Linked DNA regions of Macaca mulatta. The protein of the gene in region 1 interacts with the protein of each later gene in a pairwise test. Links are inferred from orthologs where the notes say so. Each region holds a gene or a part of one and is shown in the gene's direction. Other genes may lie near its edges. The genes, in order: CASK and TBR1.

Region 1 (2,988 bases):
GCTTGCCTGGACCTCCCAGCAGCCTCACCAGGAAGGGTCTCTTGCCAATAACAGAGGGGCCTTAGAGAAGAGGAGGGGAGGGGCCCTAAGCCAGTACTGGGCACTACGGCTCCTAGGTCCTTGAAGATACTGCATCTTTTATTTTCTCTGGAGATCTTTTTCTGTCACCTGGGGGGCCCCCATTTCTGGGAAGAATTGCTCAGTCTCTTGATTTTAGATTTAATACTTGTAAAACCCTATAATGACTGGCACTAGTCAGACAAGTGCTTGTTCTTTTGACAGCATTTATTAAGCACTTACTATGTGTAAGGCACTATGCCTAATGCTGGGGCACAGCAATTACAGGGCACACAAGACAAGTTTATAGCTGGAGACAGAGCCACTCATCAAATAAAGAGGTATTTCATTATCTCTATGTATATTTGAGACTCAGCCCAAGAGCTCACCCACCTAGTGTTTGGCAGGTAGGGTTAATTTGACTCACAAAGTTCCCTAGTGTCAAGGTTGAACTTGCCCTTTGGGAGTTCAGCATGACAAATTTGACTCATGAAGATATAGAGGCAGACTTCTTTCTGGTGGCTCTTAAGAGACCCCTATCTTGAAAGAACTGCCACTCTGTAGCGGAAGCTACACTTGCGTGACAAAGCTGGGACCTAAACTCCCTCCTCCTGTTGGATCCCTCTTGCGAGAGTTCTTAAAATCTGTGGCAAGCTGCAGCTTAGGGAACATCCTTTGTTGCAGCAAACCTCTCTAGAGTTCAGCAGCTTCTCTTCCTTTGGTTTTTTTCATAAGAGATACGAGGACCTGTGAACAGTGACATTTGTCCAGCCATTTCTAATGCAGACCACTTTGGGGGGATTCATCAGATGCCAGGTGCTGTTTGTTGGGGAAACAGCCTTATTCCGGCCATTATTTGTAACACTCAAAGAGCTTTTGCCTCTGGCATCAGCTGCTATTGAGTGAGGGCCATTATATGTCATTGAATTCCTGGAACGGTGGCACCTTTAAGTACAAGAGGAAAAAATACAACTTAATTTGTCATCCAAGGGCAGGGACTTGCTGGTGCAAACCCAGCTGGGCCCTGAGGCCTGGCTCCAGTGAGTGTGGAGGACCAAGGGGAGGGGGGCAAAGAGCTCGGGCCTTGCCACAATCTCCCTCTCCCAATTGGGAGAGTGGCTTGAGGCTAGGGCGGGGGCTTCCTGTGGGCCTGTTTGGGCCACCATAGCCACTCTAACCCATACCTGGCATGGCCCTGCCAAGCCTGACTCTGGGGACAGGCATAGCTAGGCCTGAGTGGGGGTGGCATGTTTCCTGAAGAGTGTCTGTTTTCTCTGGTTCGTCTGCTTTGTCATGGACCCTCTGTTGCATGTTGAGCAATCACTGTCTCCTCTGTCATGGAGCGGACTTGGCCTCATGCTGGAATACGGCATGTCAGGGTCTGGCCTTGACTGTTTCTGACACTGGGATGAACAAAAATGTGAAAAGAAAATGAATCCAACTGATTTCTCTCTTCTGTTTGCTTTTCCTCCTCTCATGCCCACCCCTACCTCCATCTCATCACCATTTAGGATGAATCTCTTCAGCGTCTGCAGAAGGAGTCTGACATCTTACAGAGAACATATGCACACTACTTCGATCTCACAATTATCAACAATGAAATTGATGAGACAATCAGACATCTGGAGGAAGCTGTTGAGCTCGTGTGCACAGCCCCACAGTGGGTCCCTGTCTCCTGGGTCTATTAGGCCTCTCCCCAGATATCTGAGCATAACTGGGAGCACCTCATACGTGGAAAAGCCTCTTTGTTATCGGCCTTGTGTCAGCAGGTCATGGTCCCTAGAGACTACCTAGTTGTAGTGTGACCTACATTTATAATTATTGTCATGTCCGAATAGATAGGAGGAGAAAAACAATTACACACTAATTTAAAGAGACAGTATCTTTTTTAATCAGTTCTCCTAAACTTTAATAAAATGTATCTTTAAATGTATGTATTATTCAATCCTTTGGAATGTTATATTTTTGGAAATCATAGCTTTTTATTTCCAAGGCCCCTAAAAACTGCACAAAATAGATGCTGCTTTCTATAATCTATTTTAATAATAATAAACAATGATTCTGTTACCTTGACTGGGGGTGGAACACTACATTCTTTTTAGAGTCTGATTTTATGGATTGGAATATCTTTCTTTCCTTTATTTATTTGAAATAATTAGTGTAGTGATTACAAAACAGTCATAAATTTTTAAAGGCCTTTTTTCTCTTTTTTTTTTTTTTTTTTAGAATAGTATTTTTTTTTAAGTCCTTTATGTAACATCCAGATAATGTGATACTGTCTCTTTGAAGCACCCTGTAAACCTTTTAGAGATTTGAAGTTGGGTCTTGACTCTTAATGCATGTGGACAGTCGCGAGCGTTTATGCTGTCGGTGTGTCTGTGTTGGACAAAACAATCTGTAATCTACAGCAAAGTACATTCTACATTCCGTTCATGGGGCACACCCAGGGGAATAAGAATAAAATGCTATTATGACTAAGTTGTAAACCTATGCACATCCCTTGCATTTTGGGCAACTTTATAAAAAAAAAAAAAGAAACTGATTTTTATTAATAATAATCATGTAGTGAAATGTGTTTGTAATTTTGTCTCAATTTAATTTGTTGTAAGGTGGGGGGGAATTGCTGGTTTCACCATTTCAGATCTGTGTTGTCTAAGAGTATTAACGTTTTAATTAAGCAAAGAAATGAGGATTTTTAATCTGTATGTAATTGTTTTAAAGCACCCATTTTAAGAGAAAATACTGTGCAATGAAGAAACCAGTTTAGGCATTTGCTATAAACTGAAATATTCCAAAAGAATATAACAGCCCTGTAAATTCCTTTAAAATGATAACAGGACAGTTTGACCAATTTTTTTTAAATATACTTCCTTTTATGTGTTCAATAATTAAAATGCCTTTGGGTCCTTCATTTCATTATAGATTTGTTCA
Region 2 (4,349 bases), on another chromosome or scaffold:
TTCCTCTTTAGATTCTTTTTCCTTTTAAAATTACTGGCATGGATGCTTTTTCTCCCCTCCAGATTATATAAACATTAAACACACACACACACACACACACACACACACACACACACACACACACACACGTTTTCAGTAGCGATTACTGTGTTGACACCACTTCCACTCTGTCTCCCCAGATCAGCGCTTCTGACGAGCCCATTTGCACGGGGACTCGGCCCTCTCTTTTCCTGGCGAAGCTTTTGAACCTGTCGCCAAGCCAGTACCTCAGAGAGAAGGATATACAGAGGGACGAGAAGGATGCATGGCGCCTACCCCCAGTTAGATGCTCTTCAGATAATCTGCAACCAAGTTCGCTGATAAAATATTTAGTAAAGACCTGGTAAACATCACTGCAAATACATTAAGGCATTTTAGCCCGACAGCTTATGATTATTTCAAAACTTAAAAAGGAGATCATAGATTGTCACTGTTTCTGTGCTCAAACAAGAAACCGAACCTTCCTGAGGTGGGTGGATTGGTGGGTGAGTTGCTGCTTTTCGCCCCCTCTTCTCCCCCCCTTCTGCTTGTCGCTGTGGCTCTCAGCAGCAGGGATTTATTTATTTATGTTTGCAGTTTAAAAGGTGGGGGTGGGGGCGCCGAGGACACGTAGGACCTGCTCACAAAGCACCAGCTCAGGTGTTGTGTGCTTTTGTATTAGCTGGAAAAGACAGACTCTGGAACTTTTACAGGGCGAGAAGAGGCCACCGGCTCGCGCTTTGTATACTTTGCACTTGAAATCGTTACATTCAACTGAATATTTGGCTCATTCAGATCCGAAAAGTCTCCTAGCATCGTCGAATTCCCTCCTCCGCCCCTCCGCTCTAAATGGGGGAAGGGGGGGAAGGTAGGAAATGTTTAGTAAATTGCACATCTTTGAATCTTCCTAAAGCAGTGGTCACAAAGCTTAAAGGTGACACAACAGTGCTCACGTAAACCAACACACATTCCCCACCCCCCAAGCCAACAATAAAATCATCCCCTTCAATTTGCCATGATCGTCGCTACCAGGAGCCAGGTGATTATCCTAATTAATGTCTATCTAATTAAATTACTGTCAGCAGTTAACCAATGGCAGGAGCCGTTTCATCGGCAGCACAAGCAGCAAGATCAAAAGTGAGCCTTTTCTGATTGCTGCATAGTGTCAATTGGCCAATCTCTTCTCCCAGGGAAAAAAAAAGTAAATCAAACCTTTGAGAAGCATTTGCTGGTTGAAGTGCTTTCTGTCTAGTGAGGGGGTCTGTGGATTTCTAGTTTATGATAAATAGGACTTTAAAAACCAGGGACGGGAGGGCGAGTGTTCAGGTTCTAGAGCTATGCAGCTGGAGCACTGCCTTTCTCCTTCTATCATGCTCTCCAAGAAATTTCTCAATGTGAGCAGCAGCTACCCACATTCAGGCGGATCCGAGCTTGTCTTGCACGATCATCCCATTATCTCGACCACTGACAACCTGGAGAGAAGTTCACCTTTGAAAAAAATTACCAGGGGGATGACGAATCAGTCAGATACAGACAATTTTCCTGACTCCAAGGACTCACCAGGGGACGTCCAGAGAAGTAAACTCTCTCCTGTCTTGGACGGGGTCTCTGAGCTTCGTCACAGTTTCGATGGCTCTGCTGCAGATCGCTACCTCCTCTCTCAGTCCAGCCAGCCACAGTCTGCGGCCACTGCTCCCAGTGCCATGTTCCCGTACCCCGGCCAGCACGGACCGGCGCACCCCGCCTTCTCCATCGGCAGCCCCAGCCGCTACATGGCCCACCACCCGGTCATCACCAACGGAGCCTACAACAGCCTCCTGTCCAACTCCTCGCCGCAGGGATACCCCACGGCCGGCTACCCCTACCCACAGCAGTACGGCCACTCCTACCAAGGAGCTCCGTTCTACCAGTTCTCCTCCACCCAGCCGGGGCTGGTGCCCGGCAAAGCACAGGTGTACCTGTGCAACAGGCCTCTTTGGCTGAAATTTCACCGGCACCAAACGGAGATGATCATCACCAAACAGGGAAGGTAATACTACATTTTTGGCTGCCGCTGCTCCAGGCGCAGCCGGGGACAAGTGCACCTAGGTTGTGACTGCCGCGGCAGCGACGATTTGGGGTCGGTAGCGGAGTGGAAGGCGCCCTAGAGTTGGCTGGTTTTGGAAAGGGGGAAAGTGGAAGGGATAACCGCCACGGGGATGTTGGTGGGGGGCACCCCGTTCTAGGTACGTGGTTGGAGAGCCAGTCAGTGGCCAGAGGAAGGCAAGAAAAAGGAAGAGCCCCGGCCAGCGGCTGGGCGATGGGAGGGACGCATCAACACTGGCATGCACGGACAGGTGGAGACGCAGGTCGCCAACCTCTCTCTCCACCTGGGCAGTGATACCTGCCGCCTTCCCACTCCAGCTCACCCGCCGCTCTCCCTGATTTGGGTTGCACTTCTTTTCTTCTCCCACCACCCTTTTTCTAACCCATCAAATATTCGTCCCTATCTGCTGCAAGAACAAGTTTTGCTTTGCTATCTGGCGCCCCGCTTCTTGCATTTAATCTTTAACATTTATGTTTCTTTTTTCCTTGTTTTCTCCCCCCACCCCTTAATTTAAATAGGCGCATGTTTCCTTTTTTAAGTTTTAACATTTCTGGTCTCGATCCCACGGCTCATTACAATATTTTTGTGGATGTGATTTTGGCGGATCCCAATCACTGGAGGTTTCAAGGAGGCAAATGGGTTCCTTGCGGCAAAGCGGACACCAATGTGCAAGGCAAGTCCTTCCAATTAACACATTTTCTTGACACTTATTTAGGTGAGAATGATTAATTAAAGCCTTTGTGGACTGGCTCGAGCGACTTTTAAAACGATCGGCCAATGACTTCTAAAAGGAAACGAGGGGGACAGGGGGACAGACTGAGCTGCGAGAAGGGGGAGGATTATGCAAAAGCTATTTTAATCACCCCCAGTTAATAGGAAGAAAGAACGGCCTAAAAAAGCCCCAGCTAATGGGCTTCACGGTGGAGTAAGGTGTGTGTGTGTGTGTGTGTGTGTGTGTGTGTGTGTGTGTGTGTGTCCTACGTGGTGAGGAGCTGGGACTGGGCAGTGCCGGGGGCATATGTAAACAACGTATTTCTTTCTCTAGGAAATCGGGTCTATATGCATCCGGATTCCCCCAACACTGGGGCTCACTGGATGCGCCAAGAAATCTCTTTTGGAAAATTAAAACTTACGAACAACAAAGGAGCTTCAAATAACAATGGGCAGGTCAGTGGCTCAAGCGCTCGTGTTCTCTCTCACCCCTTCCTCCCTGACATCCAGTTCGTCAGTGCAAAGCAGCATATGGAACTGGATACACGTTTCTTTGCTTCATTAAAAAGACTTAAAAATTGGATTTCCACCCTCCAAATTTATGTTAAATTTATGAAGTTGTTCTCATTGACAACACCCCCGTCGGCCCAATTTTGGAGTGCCCGACCTTCCCAAGTACTAATACTGATTGATTTTGAGAAGAAACCCCACAAGATCTGCAGGTTGTGGAAATCTTTGTTCCTCCTTACAGGAGGACTAGGAGAAGGGCCCTGAGGATCGGGCGGTCGGCTTCCCCCTTTTCTCCGGTGCCCCGGCTTATCTTCGCTCCCAGAGGTGCGAAGGCCGGTCTGCCCCAGCCAGTCAGCCGCCAGCCAGGCGAGTCCCGCGGTCAGTGAGCCTGGGAGGCTGGCTGCAGGCTGCCTCCGCCAGTCCGGGCGCGCAGCGGGGCGCACACAGCCACGCGCACAGCGATCGCGTTAACACGCCACCCGGCGCTCCCCTTTCTTTCCGCCGGACAGATGGTGGTTTTACAGTCCTTGCACAAGTACCAGCCCCGCCTGCATGTGGTGGAAGTGAACGAGGACGGCACGGAGGACACCAGCCAGCCCGGCCGCGTGCAGACATTCACTTTCCCTGAGACTCAGTTCATCGCCGTCACCGCCTACCAGAACACGGATGTAAGGAGACCTAGGGGCTGGGCGCGAGGCGGGCGGCACAGACATCTCTCTCCTACCCTCTCACATCCTCCCGCCATGCAGGTCTAGGGTACTAGCAGCGCTAACATCAGCAACAGCTGGCTCCGCTGTGCGTTTTAAGGCCTAGGGCTAGGGGCCTGCCCACGGCACCTTTCCTAAACACCAAGCCGGTGGGAAAATGCTTTCTATTTGTTTTCGTCGCGGGTTACCCGGGCCACCTTTGAGGTGGCCAGGATTTCTAAAGACTCTTCTTTTGGGAGTTTTAATTTGGGATTCGAACTAGAACAGATTAAAATCTACTTTTTTTTTTTTTTTAAGTCTCTCTTTCCTTTAGAAAA

Evidence for each region.
Region 2: the proteins of CASK (region 1) and TBR1 interact in a two-hybrid assay, tested with the Homo sapiens proteins (2 studies listed by BioGRID and IntAct). The link is inferred for Macaca mulatta from reciprocal best matches to the Homo sapiens genes CASK and TBR1.

The regions. Positions count from the first base shown.
Region 1 is NC_133426.1:41,434,465-41,437,452, reverse strand, and holds the end of CASK (peripheral plasma membrane protein CASK), read left to right. Parts: intron 1-1,568; coding exon 1,569-1,745; 3' UTR 1,746-2,280; downstream 2,281-2,988. UniProt on the Homo sapiens protein: Multidomain scaffolding Mg(2+)-independent protein kinase that catalyzes the phosphotransfer from ATP to proteins such as NRXN1, and plays a role in synaptic transmembrane protein anchoring and ion channel trafficking.
Region 2 is NC_133417.1:66,229,851-66,234,199, forward strand, and holds the start of TBR1 (T-box brain protein 1), read left to right. Parts: upstream 1-1,241; 5' UTR 1,242-1,355; coding exon 1,356-2,047; intron 2,048-2,622; coding exon 2,623-2,777; intron 2,778-3,149; coding exon 3,150-3,271; intron 3,272-3,834; coding exon 3,835-3,993; intron 3,994-4,349. UniProt on the Homo sapiens protein: Transcriptional repressor involved in multiple aspects of cortical development, including neuronal migration, laminar and areal identity, and axonal projection.